Arabidopsis thaliana: one gene and its partners. The protein of the gene in region 3 interacts with the protein of the main gene of each other region in a pairwise test. Each region holds a gene or a part of one and is shown on either strand. Other genes may lie near its edges. The genes, in order: AT3G54880, AT1G15350 and AT2G23070.

The links.
Region 1: the proteins of AT2G23070 (region 3) and AT3G54880 interact in a two-hybrid assay, tested with the Arabidopsis thaliana proteins (one large-scale study listed by BioGRID).
Region 2: the proteins of AT2G23070 (region 3) and AT1G15350 interact in a two-hybrid assay, tested with the Arabidopsis thaliana proteins (one large-scale study listed by BioGRID).

Annotation. Positions count from the first base shown.
Region 1 is NC_003074.8:20,336,583-20,341,729, reverse strand, and holds AT3G54880 (zinc finger protein), read left to right. Parts: upstream 1-3,131; 5' UTR 3,132-3,329; intron 3,330-3,724; 5' UTR 3,725-3,762; intron 3,763-3,849; 5' UTR 3,850-3,943; coding exon 3,944-4,073; intron 4,074-4,242; coding exon 4,243-4,330; intron 4,331-4,435; coding exon 4,436-4,502; intron 4,503-4,598; coding exon 4,599-4,652; 3' UTR 4,653-5,043; downstream 5,044-5,147. Other genes in the region: LHCA1 (chlorophyll a-b binding protein 6), read left to right, coding at 808-998, 1,312-1,414, 1,502-1,790, 1,882-2,024.
Region 2 is NC_003070.9:5,277,689-5,282,835, reverse strand, and holds AT1G15350 (DUF4050 family protein), read left to right. Parts: upstream 1-2,885; 5' UTR 2,886-3,133; intron 3,134-3,231; exon of another isoform or gene 3,232-3,261; 5' UTR 3,262-3,349; coding exon 3,350-3,354; exon of another isoform or gene 3,355-3,529; intron 3,530-3,641; exon of another isoform or gene 3,642-3,646; coding exon 3,647-3,891; intron 3,892-3,981; coding exon 3,982-4,072; intron 4,073-4,160; coding exon 4,161-4,230; intron 4,231-4,301; coding exon 4,302-4,355; 3' UTR 4,356-4,723; downstream 4,724-5,147.
Region 3 is NC_003071.7:9,824,085-9,829,231, reverse strand, and holds the start of AT2G23070 (Protein kinase superfamily protein), read left to right. Parts: upstream 1-2,333; 5' UTR 2,334-2,360; coding exon 2,361-2,740; intron 2,741-3,074; coding exon 3,075-3,204; intron 3,205-3,323; coding exon 3,324-3,518; intron 3,519-3,725; coding exon 3,726-3,883; intron 3,884-4,086; coding exon 4,087-4,177; intron 4,178-4,315; coding exon 4,316-4,381; intron 4,382-4,487; coding exon 4,488-4,570; intron 4,571-4,667; coding exon 4,668-4,731; intron 4,732-4,847; coding exon 4,848-4,916; intron 4,917-5,007; coding exon 5,008-5,070; 3' UTR 5,071-5,147. Other genes in the region: CKA3 (Protein kinase superfamily protein), read right to left, coding at 86-154, 226-289, 408-490, 580-645, 778-868, 1,022-1,179, 1,268-1,462, 1,544-1,673 and 1 more. UniProt on the Arabidopsis thaliana protein: Casein kinases are operationally defined by their preferential utilization of acidic proteins such as caseins as substrates. The alpha chain contains the catalytic site. Involved in the regulation of various developmental processes.

The DNA of each region.
Region 1 (5,147 bases), on a different chromosome or scaffold from region 3:
ATATATTGTATGATGGATTTAGGTATACAACAGTTGGAGTTGCTTGGAATTTGAGTTTCCTTTGTCATATGTGTTGGCCTGCAAATTTGTGTTGTTTGTTGAAAGGTTTATGTGTGAAGTAGTGCTAGTAGAATCTAAGTTTGTTTCTGACTAAGAGACATGAAGTCATGGGTTGTTATGCTCATTCATATCCTGATTGAGATACAATTTAAAGAAACTTAGTTCCAAAGATTCTGAACATTCACCGGTACAGTGTGTCTGCAAATGGTATTCTGTCTCACTTCAATGTCTAAACACGTTGTCTCAAAATGTATCGTTTGTTAGATACTCCTTTCAAGACATATGATTTAGCCTCGCATGTGTTCGTTGATCCAAGTTTTACCGGTTTGATAAGTCTCCAGTCTTAGCAATAAATCCAGACCGGATTCATGACCAATCGCAGATTTACCGGTCCGGGTCAAGTTTTAAAACATTAGTAGAAATGTGTTTCACCGAACAGGAAGACTTATCTGATAGCATCTCGTTGCAGTGGATAAATGGCAAAATAGTAATATACGTAGATTCTGCTTTTATCTGAACCACATAGTGCAGATGGATATCGAACAGAAGAACATGATATCGAGAAGACACGTGGCCCAATGAAAAAGCCACGCAGGCTCTGTATAGCCAATTGCAATCTGGTTTTAGATTCTCATCTCACAAATCTTACTTATACGATCAGTCTCCCACATTCACACTTCCACCAAACACCTCTCGTCCACATCTTTCTCCTTTGGTGGCAAACACAACGACAGATAGAGAGAAACGATGGCGTCGAACTCGCTTATGAGCTGTGGCATAGCCGCCGTGTACCCTTCGCTTCTCTCTTCTTCCAAGTCTAAATTCGTATCCGCCGGAGTTCCACTCCCAAACGCCGGGAATGTTGGTCGTATCAGAATGGCTGCTCACTGGATGCCTGGCGAGCCACGACCAGCTTACCTTGACGGTTCTGCTCCTGGGTACGCTTCGAACCCTTTTACTCTGTTTTGTTGCTCAGTTTGGAATCAGAATTGTTTGTTAGATTACTCTGTTTTGATGACATGATGCAACATTGTACGTTTTGTGAAAGATTCAATTTTTTTTATGTTATTGGGTATTCATATTTCAGAAAGTTGTCTCCTTTCAGAATTTGAATTCCCTTTAGTTGTGTATTCAGAGATTCTAGATAGATTACTGGAACCTCTTTTGATGACTTAAGGGTTCTGATTTCAACATTGGAGGTTGTTTAGAAAGTTTCAGTTTTTCTAAGTTATTGGGTACAACATTGTGCAGTGACTTTGGGTTTGACCCACTTGGACTTGGAGAAGTTCCAGCGAACCTTGAGAGATACAAAGAGTCAGAGCTCATCCACTGTAGATGGGCTATGCTCGCTGTTGTAAGTTTCAATATCCAATCTTTGTCTTATCATAAGGGTTTAGTCTTGTTAAGTTTAATCTAATGGACTTGGTGGGTGGTGTTGTAGCCTGGGATTTTGGTACCAGAAGCATTAGGATATGGAAACTGGGTTAAGGCTCAGGAATGGGCAGCACTACCAGGGGGTCAAGCCACTTACTTGGGAAACCCAGTCCCGTGGGGTACTTTGCCCACAATCTTGGCCATTGAGTTCTTAGCCATTGCATTTGTTGAGCACCAGAGAAGTATGGAGAAAGACCCTGAGAAGAAGAAGTACCCGGGAGGCGCATTTGACCCTCTTGGATACTCGAAGGACCCCAAGAAGCTCGAGGAATTGAAAGTTAAAGAGATCAAGAACGGTAAGCACACACAACAACTTACCTTTCTTGATCAAACTTATGTACAAATGTATATCTAATGTTGGTGTTTTTTGCTTGGTGGGTGTAACAGGGCGGCTTGCGCTGTTGGCGTTTGTAGGATTCTGTGTGCAACAGTCGGCTTACCCGGGGACAGGACCATTGGAGAACTTGGCAACTCACTTGGCGGATCCATGGCACAACAACATTGGCGATATTGTTATCCCTTTCAACTAATGAATGTAAAAATAGAAATATGTGTACCTTATGAGCTTTATGTGTATCAAAAACACTGTGTAATGAAAGACAGATTTGTGAATTCCTGTAATTTGTCTTGGTGATCGAATGCTCGTGTGAGCTTGAATTCTAAGTGATGAACCTTTTGAACCCAAATACACATTACATCTCATGCTTCCTACAGAAGAAACATTGTAAGCTCATGACTATTTGTTAGATTTCTCAACAATCACATTCACATACTATAAACTCCATAACAGAAGAAACATTGTTAGCTCATGATTATTTGTTAGAGTTCTCAACTCTATCCAAATATGCTTTTTGTTTATATCAACTTAGATAAATGGTTATTGAACCACACCAAGATACATGCATTTTACATTTGAGTTTTGATGAATATTTTCTATTCATCTTTTTTCCCCCTCATTTTTACCTTCTACATTTTTTCATATTGAACAAAAACAATCCTGTTAATTTTCTTCCCTCTCTTTTCTAGTAAAATCATTTAAGGATTTTTTTTGAAATTAGTTGATGTCTTTCTTATCACATTTGTTCTATACTTCTACTAATTTTTCTTTTGTTCTTTTGCATACTAATCTTCACCTACAAAATAGAGTACTCTCTAAACAGAGTCTTGGAAAGTTTTGTCTTCCTTTTATATTCTCAACTATAAAGTTTAAATGAGACATAGTTCTAGAAAATAACATCTTTGACATTCAATGGTTCCCTTAATTATATATTGAGCTAGAATTTGAAGAAAAATCAATACCACATTAATGTTTACAGATTTTAATTCATATATGGCTTAGTATTCTATTATTATATGATTTTCTCAATTTAATTCATTAAAATCAAGTAATCAGAATTTCAAATAATTTATTTTATATTTCAAAAAACTTAAAGAAAACTTTAGATTTGACATGTGACAAAATTTTCACCATTCTCTTCCAATATAATAAAGAATGGAGCTATCTTCCTAATCATATCCACGTAAGATTGAGATAGAAACTTGAGCTGCGTGGGGCATGCTTAATTTTTTCTGTCTCATTGACCCAAAGATATATCTGTATTCTAGTGGATACATACATTATTTACTCATTACCAACTACAAGTAAACTCCTTTAATTAATTTTTAAATTCTATATTTGGCTCATAAATTATTCCTTTTTAAAATTTATTTTTAGTTGATTTTTCATTGCCTACTCAAGATCTAAAATTTTCCTTTACATATAAAACCTAAAAGAAAACATATAATGCAGTTTCAATCCCTCTACCAAATTTTCTGTTGATACTTTCCTCATTAAGGTAATCATTCCTCTATCCTCTACTTTTCTTATGTAGCAAACTTTCTCTTTCTATCATGAATTTTGGTTTCTCCTTAGAATCTTTTTGGATCTTGAATGCTTCTGATCTGTTTTATTTGGATCTTTAAAAATATATTCTTCACCGGAAATGCCATTGTTTTAATCTCAATACATTTCTTAAGGAGATAGAACTAGTTCTTTGATTGAAAAATCTCTGTTTTGTTGCCTTAGAGATGAATGAAGATTTTAATGAATGTAAACCCAATGCGTTAAAAAAGGAAAGATGTTTTTTTTTCTTCTTTTGCTATGAGTTTGGTGTATATGGTTTGAATCTTTCTTTCATAACGTATTGTTTTCTGAGAAATCTGGTATGTTTTGTTTTCTTGAATCTTCTAGGGTTTTCCACATAGCTGATTGATGAAAATGTCAATGAGGTAAATTAAACCAACCCTTTCTTGTAACAGTTTTCATGATTTTTGAAATGGGGTTTTAATTGGTTTCTTGTTGTTTCTTTATAGCAGCTTGTGTGGAAACCTTTGATGTTTTTTTGTATGTGGATGTGAATTGGTATACTCGGGTTTATTCGTAAAGGAATGATCATTCGATTGAATAAGAATGGAGCTTTATACTGCAAATTGTCTGTCCACCGAAAACAAACCTACTCTTGAGCTTTCAAAACTAGTCAAAGACGAGAAAAGCTCGGTGAAAACGAACAGCGAAAACACCCTTACACTTGTGAATCATGGTACATTCCACACCTCAGCTTAAGAAGATGACTAACTCTTATTATTGCCACATTGTGTTACCTTACCTCTGTTTTTGGGTGACACCGCCGGATATTTTAACTTGTTGGCTCTGTAATTTGATATTTGATGTTCTTGAACACTATCTATAAGGATCTTTCTTGATTACAGGTGCAAAGATGTGGCAAGAGAACAGGGAAAAATGGGTGGGAGATCAATCTCGACAAAGAAAAAACACTGCAAAGGATCAGATTATAAGGTATTATGTGTTTCATCAACCTTTAAGTTCATCTGACAATCTTTTTGCAGTGTCAAAGAATCAAAGAAGGCAATGTTTTCTAAGATGTTCTTGAATCTCTTGCAGCTGGTCTACTACATATGAAGATCTTCTCTCAACTCATGAACCTTTCTCTGAGTCGATTCCTTTACCCGTAAGCTTTAATCTAATCCCAATATCTACCTTGACTTAAAAAAAGGAACCTACAATCATTCTCAATTCCTGAATTTTCCATTTGATCTTTATGTAGGAGATGGTGGACTTTCTTGTCGATATTTGGTACGATGAAGGCCTTTACGATTAGAAGAATCTAACAATGCCACGAACTAGATTGACAAAGAACAAAGGAGAGATTCAATTATGGTATGAAATTAAATCTTTAGGAGTTGTGAAAACATTTACAGATATGATGAACTATCTATTTGTTATATCCATATACTGTATCATGAGAAAAAGACTGACTACTCATATACTCCACATCTTTAACATTTATATGATTGTTACAATGACAAGGAACAAGGATTACAAGATTTTGATCACCTTATAGCAAAATATAAGGAGACTTGAGTTTGTTTGACCATGTATTCCATGTTTCTCAACATCATCAATCTTACATGGAAAAATTGGCTACATATTTGTTACACAAATGATCAAAGAACATCTCGAAACAGAGACAGTATACCAGTTATCACAGCACATAATCTCCTAACACTCATTTCTTATAAAAATCTTAGCTTTTCTCTCCTTTACTGTCGTCACCAATCACAAAGTCAATCTAATGACATGCTTGTAGAATCAG
Region 2 (5,147 bases), on a different chromosome or scaffold from region 3:
AGCGCTGAGAAAAGTGGTTGTTCACTCGCGATCAAATATAACACATGCAATGTATAAAACAACATACATAGAGGGGAAAAGTGATTATATAATTAGACATTGACAACATGCATGTACAAGTTAAAAAGTAAAAGGACAAAAAAAATAAAAATTAAAAGGTGGTCCATGTACATGTATATTGTGTAATTAGTAGAATGTTTTGTCCACATATCTAGTTGATTGTCGTACCCATAGCCTAAGCCCTAACTGTCAGATTGGGTCCAGATTAAGGCTGTTTAGGTGTCAATCTCATATCTATTTGCTTTTAATTTTTGAGCAAACATCTTTAACCTAATGTATGCTTATATTTAATATACAATATAATATGGTTTATACATTTTTGTTTTTGAGGTGCTAATTTGGTGGTGGCTTGTTATCATAGGGTCCCCACTTCCCTGAGTCCATGACCGATATTTCATAATTATAGTCTCTTCCATTAACTCTTGTTCATACTTGTGTTTGGAACTTGCATATCACTATTCCTTTCAATTATCTAGCCTTTAAATTATTATTTTGTTTCTCTTTATTTTTGTTGTAGACTTTTGTAGCTACTTAAAGATTGAATGATTGATGATAGTACTCCTGTAATTTGGAATACATGTTTTTCTTTTCTTTTTGGTTTTATTGTATTATTTTTCGAATCCATCAGCCTAGTTAATTTCATACTGCTAAAATTTACGTATAGTGTTTATTTAAATGCCAGATATTTTAACGAAAAAAAAAATTGTTGATCTTTTCAAACACGAAAATCACGTGATTGAATGTCCGAAATAGTCGATAGAATAAGAAAATTAACTTGCAAGAGGCCAACGATGTTTCAACCAAAAGGCAAAAGTTTCCTAACCGCGAATTTAACGGGTTTATGAATCTCCTTTTCTGGTACTCTCTTACGTATGCACGTGTCCTCATGTGTGGACCAAATAGCCCGATTATTTCAAAATGGGCCTTTATTGGGCCATACTGATGTCCACAATGAATGTAAAGAAGTTAGGTTTTACAGCAACGGCGCGAAGAACAGTCAACCCCGAAATAGAAGTGATCAAATGCCAGCAAATGCCACCTTAAATTTCTCCACAAGAAACCGTTTCCTTCTTCTGTATTCAACTCTGATCAACGGCCATTCGTTCAAATTTACTAAATTCAAAGATGTTTGTTTTGTGTTCACTTTCAAAACTTCTCCATAAATTGTTTTGTTTTTCATTTTCTAGTTCCTTAAGAACCGAATGAAAATGACATGTTTCCGTCTCCAATAGGTCGAATTCACAAGACACCAAGAATTATGCAATATTGGATTCATCTTTGATTAGTCTTGTCCAAATTATCTTGGCACTGTGCTTGGATGCAAAAGAGTGGATATTGCTTGTGCTAATGGCTTCAAGGATCCAGCTTTCACCGAAGTTGTAGTATCGGTGGGACTAGAACATCATCTGTTCATGTAAGAAAAATTAATTGCTTTCATAGTTTATCAGCCATGGAATCGAATCCGTGAATCACTGCGAAATGTTTTGAAAGATTAACAACCGGAAAAGTGAACTGATAAGAGCTTTATATGTGAGTATGAGTGGTAACAGAATGATTACAAGACCTGCGAGGGAAATCTTCCTAACATCATCATCTCTGTCTTTTTCTTCAATGTCTTCCTCTGTTTCATGGGATGATGCCGTAGAGAGAAGTACAAAAGAGTCCAAAGCATCTTCTGAGGATACGAGTCAGCAGAATTGGGAACTTTCAAATGCTTCTTCTTCTAAAGGCTCTGACATATCAGGTGTGACTCATGTCAGGATGCAGCCTTCTTCTTCTTCTCAAGGCTCTGAAATATCTGGTTTGACTCATCTCAGGATGCAACCAGCTCCATCTCCGCCTTCTAGGTTACGACCAGTTCACTTGATGAATAATGGTATAGCGAATTACGATCCCGGGAGAATCCCTGCATCGGTGTTTAGTAAGAATGGGGATGTGGATTGGAGCGAAATATCAAATGAGTCTTTGTTTAGTCTGAAAATTGATGGCTATAGAAAGTCAAACGCTCAAGGGTCTCGTCACAGTAATTTAAAACCTGATGAAGTTTTGATGTCGGGTGAGTTCTTGAGATATTCCCCTTCTCTGGTAGTCAAACCTGAGGATGCAAAAGAGAAAACATCTGAAGTGGAAGAGGTAAAGAATAATGAAGAAACAAGACTTCAGAGTCACAATCATCGAGAGAAATACCCGTCATTTCCAGATGTCCCATTGAGTAGTATCCCCAACAACTTCTATTGCTTATACGCGCCGCGGACAAAACCTGTGTCTTTTTCCCTTCCTGTGGGTGAGAAAAAGAGTATGAAGAGAAAGAAGAGAAGAAAGAACAAGAAGAAGAAGAATAAAAAGGAGAAGAAGAAGAAGAAGTGTTGCACTTGCATGTGGACTTGGTTGTGCTCAGTATTTTCAAAGTGAGTGTGTGACTTGCGTTGCTCTACAAATGGAGAAAGTGTGGCTGCTGCTGCAAGCAAACAATGTTTTTGTAATCATGAGAGTTATGTATTGACATTTAAACAACTATCTTTATTTGCATCCTTAATGCTTAATGTATTCTTACGCTAATGGTTAACAGTTTTCTTCTATGCTTTGATTCCAGACTATTATTTATTTCATTATAGAAAATGATAATGTATTACGAATACAAGCTGTATGGGAAAAATATGATGAGTGGGGTTGATTATAAGACAATGGATTGGAGAGGCATGGAAGATGCACAATTATTTTGACTTTTAATAATAAGCTCATACCAAACACACTATCTATATACATTATACACATTCGTCAATTATCAAGTTGTTCGAATTATTACAAGTTCTTTGATTTGGTTGATTAAAATTACAATAATACCCTCAATGCCAAGAGATCCGTATAACGGCTGGGGGATGAATAATAACTTCTCTGGTCATCGAAACAAAGGCAAATCATTTCAAAGCGAAAGGAAAAGGAGAAACGTAAAGAGGGCAAAGCCCTTCTTCTTCTTGTTCGAGAAGGAGCTGCAGCCTCAGATAAGGATTCTTTTGATGCCCAGTTGATAAAGGAAGCGACTTTATTTTAACCAACGAGATTTTATCATCAGGTAAGCAAAGCTGTTTGATTCGTTGATTCTTTTGTATATATTGAATATGTTTTTGTTCGCTGTTGATTGGTTTCTTCTTTGGCTTTTATCTATAATAGGGTTGGTTAATTGGTTTGTTATTTGACAAGGATCATTGATCACCCTCTTGAGAACATCTCGAGCTTTCCCAGATCTATCTGAGCTCCTGGGTTTATAAATCGCTTCCTTCACATATCGATGGGGTGCGTTTCTTCTTCCGATTTCTGTTTTTGACTTTATGCAGAATGTTTTGGTATTTGATTGATTTGGATTTGAGATTCTGTTTGATGGGCTTTGTTCCTGCGTTATGTGCTGCTTGGGATTCATGTTCATGATAGATAAACCCTAATTTTATTGCTGGGGAATGGTGTTTATAAGGTTGTTTTATGCAGATGAGATAGCTATCTCTGAAAGTTTTATAGAAAAATGTTTTGCTAAGGAAATAAGGATGTTTTTTGGGCAATGATCAAAAGTTATGGTTTTGTAACAGAGCAGTGGCTGCGTGGGTTGCTACAGAGAACACAGATCAACTGCCGCCAGTCTGAAGGATCCACCTTCCAATTCCATTGCTCGACCGTGTAAGAAACCGAGTGTCTCTGAAGATTTCTGGTCAACAAGCACAGTTGATATGGACAACATCACCTTCCCTTCACAGGGGAGCTTATCATCATCCAATCAGACTTTTGATTCTCAATCTGCTGCTAGAAACTCTAATGCTCCTCCTGAATATGTAAATCAAGGTACTTTCTTTTTTGGATTTCACGGAAGGGGAGCGTTGTGGTCTAGTGTTTTGTGATGGTTATATATGAAGTGGGTTTGTGTGTTTGCAGGTCTTCTTCTTTGGAATCAGACACGGGAGCGTTGGGTGGGAAAGGATAAACCCAACAACCCGGTGGATCACAATCAAGGAGCCAAGTTAAAGTGAGTGGCTCTGTTACACACTATTGTTTGCTGAAAGCTAAGGGCTAAAGTCTGGCAATGTTACATTTTATATGTCTATCATTTGCAGTTGGAACACAGCAACGTATGATAGCTTGCTGGGGAGCAACAAGTTATTTCCCCAACCCATTCCTCTCACCGTAAGTAATCAAACTCCTCCGAGTGCAGGAAAAAAACCCAGTCAACTAACTGTGTTACTGATTGAAAACAGGAAATGGTGGATTTTCTAGTGGACATTTGGGAACAAGAAGGTCTATATGACTGAACAAGACTTGGAAGACACACACACATACTGGTTCGGGCATTTCTGATTTATTTTTTCTTTTCGGTTTTCTTTTCTTTTCTCAAAGCCCTTGTTGTTACCACTTATCATCTTCCATTTGGAGTTGATCGAGAATACTGGGAAATGTGGCTTATACGTTTTCACCGTAAATGAGAAATATCCTTTGTTTACCATCTTTCAGTCCAAAAGAATTAAGAGCAATATCTCGGTTTGACTAATCAGTATCTTAATATGGGACATGTTCTTGTGTATTTTTGTTTTGTTTTGTTAAGGACATGTTCTTGTGTCTCATGTCCCACTTGCACATTGATCCTACCTTCCAGGTGATCTGTCCAGTGTTTGATTTCCACATATATGTACATTTTATTTTAATAAAATGATTAGAGGACATTCCTTAAATTAGTGCTCTTCACTAATTATTAGGGATTAGACTTGTGCCAACAAGAGAATCTGAACCTAAAAGTATCAAAGCAAAAAAAATGTTCCGAATAGTAATTGGGCTGTTGATTTGGGCTTTTAGCATGGAGAGTAGTAGTAGGAGAGTGGGAATAAAACAGAAAAAGAATATTCGGCGTGAAAACAGCAGCGGTCACGTACCGGACCTCAACACCACTCTCCATTCTACTTTATTAAGCGGGAAACAGATACTTCCTTATCCATCGATGAAACGTCGACCACACTGGATACGTGTCGTTCTCAAAGAGGTCTGTCACTAAACTATCACGTCGACCCAGTGTAAATTTATCATCCACGCTCTCGTGGATTACGTGGAGG
Region 3 (5,147 bases):
AAAACAAAATCAAAAGATGTGTGCACATGAAGATCATCGGGTAAAACAAAATCAAAAGATGTGTGCACATGAAGAGGATTTTTACCATGGCTTCTCTTGCGGTTAATCTGTCTTGATGATCATACTGAAGAAGCTTATCGAGAAAATCAATTGCCTAAAGATGTATACAATGAGTCAATACACCCAGAACGAAGCAAAACTATGTTTTTCGAAAAAGAGTAGTACCTCAGGTGAGACCAAATGTTGGTTGTCCGCGTTGATAAACTTGGACCATGGTTTGGGGACATGTCTACAAATAAGAGTGACTTCAGGTTTTAACTCATTGGTATAAAATTAACTGAGCCAGAGTTGAGAACAGCAACAATTTTGACTTTTAAAGACAGAGAGATTCAGGGATGGAATAAAACCTTCCAACAAGTGCTTCCAGTTGAGGGTCAAGATCTAGCTGATATTTGTTTAGGTAATGATCTAACTCATTGGTTCCCAACACCTATGCACACGTTTCAATCAGAAATCATATACATGGATTTAAGTTTACAATGTAATTTTATGCCAATAAGTCATAGACTAGCAATATACCTTGGCAATTTTGACAAGTTGATCATGATTATCATGGCCATAAAAGAACGGTTCCTTACGGAATATCTGCAGCATCAATATTTGACAAGTGAATAAGCAACAGCAAAGTATTAACGACTACCATTCGGAAATTCAAATGCTTGCAATAGCTTCAGCATTGAAGCTAGAGAGAAGAGTGAGGGGATTATTAGTTCTCACCATGCCAGCAAACATGCAACCAAGACTCCACATGTCTAAAGAATAGTCATAATCCTGTAGATCAACTAAAAGCTCGGGACCCTTGAAGTATCTGGCAATTAATTCACAGGTTTTTAGTCTAATGCATTTAACAACTACAAGAAGCTTTGATTGCACAGCTAAAAGTTTCAATCATTGGCATCTACGAATGACCCTCTTAGGCTTGCCAAGACAGGTGGAATTAAGCTGTGGTATCGGATATTACCTCGAGGCCACGCGAACATTATACTCTTTTCCGGGATGGTAAAACTCAGCAAGGCCCCAATCTATCAGACGAAGTTTACGCAGCTGATGATCTATCATGACATTATGAGGCTTAACATCCCTATGCATTATTCCTTGAGAGTGACAGAAATCCAATGCCTGAAATGCAATAACATCAGCTCTGGATTCCACGATAAACATTTGTATGTACGGTAAAAGTCATTTATGGTAAATACCGATACATTACCTTCAGAAGCTCATAAATATAGTACCGGATATCGTAATCAGTCAATGTTGGATACAATACTTTAAAGTCCACACTGTTGACAAACTCAAATACCAAGCTAGGTGTTTTGGAGTGCTCATCTCTAACAATATCATACAGCTTAACAATATTTGGTCCACCACATAGGTTCTGAAGTATTTTGATCTCTCTCTTTATCTGCATAACATCAAGTTTCAGCAAAATTAGCCATCTTTATGTATGCAAATTCATCAGAAATGAGTTCTACTAACTGATCACCTTCTTCTTTTTTACGGGTTTGAGGATCTTGATAACGCAACGCTCATTCGTATTGACGTTTTTGCCTTCGAAAACTTCACTGTATTTTCCTCTACCAACTTTTCTCACAACCTCATAATCATCTTGATGACTGAAGAATCACACAAAAGTATTTAAGAATCTCACACTGTTGAATTTCAAAATCCAATATTTGCTAATAGATACTTAAAACAAAGTGTCTTCAAGAGACCTAAGTCCAAACCCTAAAAAATTCCAATTTCTCTGATTTCGAATTCGATTTGGCAACAAATCAATCAAATTCCACCGAAAATTTATCAAAAAGAAGTCAAAAATCGTAAATTCATCAAAGAAAAATTCTAAAGCTAGAAGTTTTACCCCCATTGAACAACGAGAGACTCGTAGTCCCAATACTCTTTAGGACGAACAACGTTAACATCTGTATAAACCCTAGCTTTCGACATCAATTTCGATCTGAAAAAATGGAGAAATTTGCGATCGCAATCTTCTCTTTGATCGTCAGGTTTGTTTCAAGTGGACGATGATGATGACAACAGAAGAAGTGCGTTGTGCAGGATTAGAAAAAGGTTGAAGAAGAATCTCTGATACCCAAAAACCACCTAAACCAAATCGAACCGATTCAACCACACTCGAACCGAAACAAACCCAATCGGATCGATTTCAATCACACTATAACCGGACCGAATTGTTTAAACGACATCGTTTCGAAGAGAAGCCAAAGAAAAAGAAAGGAGAGAAATAAAGCAAATTCGTTACCTTCACTTTTCATTTTCTGAATAAGAGTTAAAAAAAGACATTAATGGCCTTAAGGCCTTGTACTGGATTCACAATCTCCTCTCTTCGCAACGCTTCCGCCGCCAACAACAATCTCTTCTCTCTCCTCTCCTTCTCTTCGTCGTCTCCGGCGAAGAGGAATCTTCTTCTCTCTTCGCTCCAGGACAATCTCCGTCGTTTCGCATCCAGCGCTTCTCTTTACCGTCAACATCTCCGGAATCAACAACAACAACATCAGCAACAACAGCAATCGCGCGTGAAAGAAAAATCAGAAACGCTGGCTCAGAAGATCGGTAAATCTATCCGGCGTGCCGGTGCGCCGTCGAAAGCTAGGGTTTACGCTGATGTCAACGTTGTTAGACCTAAGGACTATTGGGATTACGAGTCCCTTGCTGTTCAATGGGGGTATATCTTCAGATTCTTCTCTAATTAAACCTAATTACGTCGATTTCTAGATGTTTGCCTTTGGTTATAGATTGGTTTGGGATTGGTTGTTCTGGAATCAATGTGGAATGTAGATTTAGGGTTTCGTTTCATATTTTTGATTGATGATATAATCTCGTAAGTAATGCAGAATTGGTATCTGATTTGTTTGTATTGGTATCTGTTTTGTTTGTATATAATCTCTTGAAAATTGCTGGTCTATGTGAACTAGATTGTTGAATTGATATCTTGAGTTTGTATGGTGTTGTTACTGTTTGGTGTATTAGTGTTTGAGTTAGCTTCATTGATGCCGCAGTGTACAGGATGATTATGAGGTGGTGAGGAAGGTAGGAAGGGGAAAATACAGTGAGGTCTTTGAAGGCATTCATGCTACTGATAACGAGAAATGTGTTATCAAGATTTTGAAGCCTGTGAAGAAGAAGAAGGTGAGTAGATACAGCCGCTTGCTTGTTTTTATCTCAATTGTGCTCAGAATGAAGTGTGTTTCTGGCCCTTCACTTGGTTTGAATTATTCTCTAACATATTTTGCTTCTCCTTGACGCAGATTAAGAGAGAGATTAAGATTCTGCAGAACCTCTGCGGTGGGCCTAATATTGTAAAATTGCTCGACATTGTTAGAGATCAGCAGTCTAAGACGCCCAGCTTGATATTTGAACATGTGAACAATAAAGATTTCAAAGTTCTCTATCCAACTCTCTCAGACTATGATGTTCGATATTACATTTTTGAACTTCTAAAGGTAATTATTCAGTTTCCTGAATTGTAGACCATGATTTTCTTTGCGGCTTTGGCAATTGGCAAAAGTAATCGGTAGATATATCATAGATGTATAGCGTCATACACTGTTGTTTACCTTACTTGACTTTTGAATCCACTAGCCTTCAGTTATAAAGGGTACGAATTTGTTTCTGATGCTGTTTGTTGTTTCTTTTTAACATTTATGCAGGCGTTGGATTTCTGCCATTCACGTGGAATCATGCACAGAGATGTGAAACCACATAATGTCATGATTGATCACGAGCAGCGAAAACTTCGTTTAATTGACTGGGGTTTGGCAGAATTCTATCATCCTGGGAAAGAATACAATGTCCGTGTTGCTTCAAGGTAGTTCCTTTTGGCTATCTGCTAATCTCTCCTCTGCAAGATTCTATTTGTTGCAGTTGCTAAATTTCTGCTCATAGAGAGTCTAGATAAGAAATGTTGAAGATTGCATGCATTGAGCTCTTGAGATTAGTTGAAACATATTATCTAACTTCGTCTAGCTGATGTATACTATTATCATTTCTCACTTCATATTTGATGAGCAGGTACTTTAAGGGTCCAGAGCTGCTGGTGGATTTACAGGACTATGATTATTCCTTAGACCTATGGAGTCTTGGGTGTATGTTTGCTGGAATGGTAAGCGTTTTAAGCTAGAATTTAGTTAACTTGGTTTAAGCTGTAATGGAATGACAAGAATTCGACAGTACATTTTGGTTATTTTACCATTCCTTAAGTTAGTTAAGTGGTGAATATTGTATACTCTACTGTTTGCAGATATTCCGCAAGGAGCCGTTCTTTTATGGCCATGACAACTATGATCAATTGGTCAAAATTGCGAAGGTAACATTACAAAAGCTTTCATCATGTCTCGTCTCCTCTGAACAGATTTTACATTCCTCCAAGTTATAGCTAAAAATACGATTCTATGTATTTATAACTATGGCAGGTGCTTGGCACAGATGAACTCAACGCCTACCTAAACAAATACCGTATAGAGTTGGACCCTAATCTAACATCCCTCGTGGGCAGGTAATCCGGTTTAAAAAGTTATGAAAAACTCTAAAAACTCCAGTTTTGCGCCTTATCATTTCAGAACATTAAATTATGCACTCTTGATTTTATATAGACATAGCCGGAAGCCATGGACAAAGTTCATCAATTCTGAAAACCAGCACTTAGCAGTTCCTGAGGTACAACACTTAACTTTTCTCTATACAATTATGAAGCCTTCATGTTAAGACCAAAACACCGGATTTTTTGGACGAACATGACTCATTTGTTTTCATATACTTTTTGGTTAATGAAGGCTGTTGATTTTGTGGACAAGTTGCTGAGATATGATCACCAAGAAAGGCCAACAGCTAAAGAAGCAATGGTAAGCAACAATTTTTCTTTAATATCTTTCTAAAGATTTTCTCTTATAATTACAGATAAGTGATAGTAGAGAATATGATGGATTTTTACAGGCGCATCCATATTTCTATCCGATTAGAAATGCAGAGAGCAGCCGTACGCCGCGCAGCCAGTGATCTCGAAAACATTTGCTTGTTCAATCTTCTGATTTTTCATTTCTTTACGGATTCAAATTTGTTATAAATCGATCTGT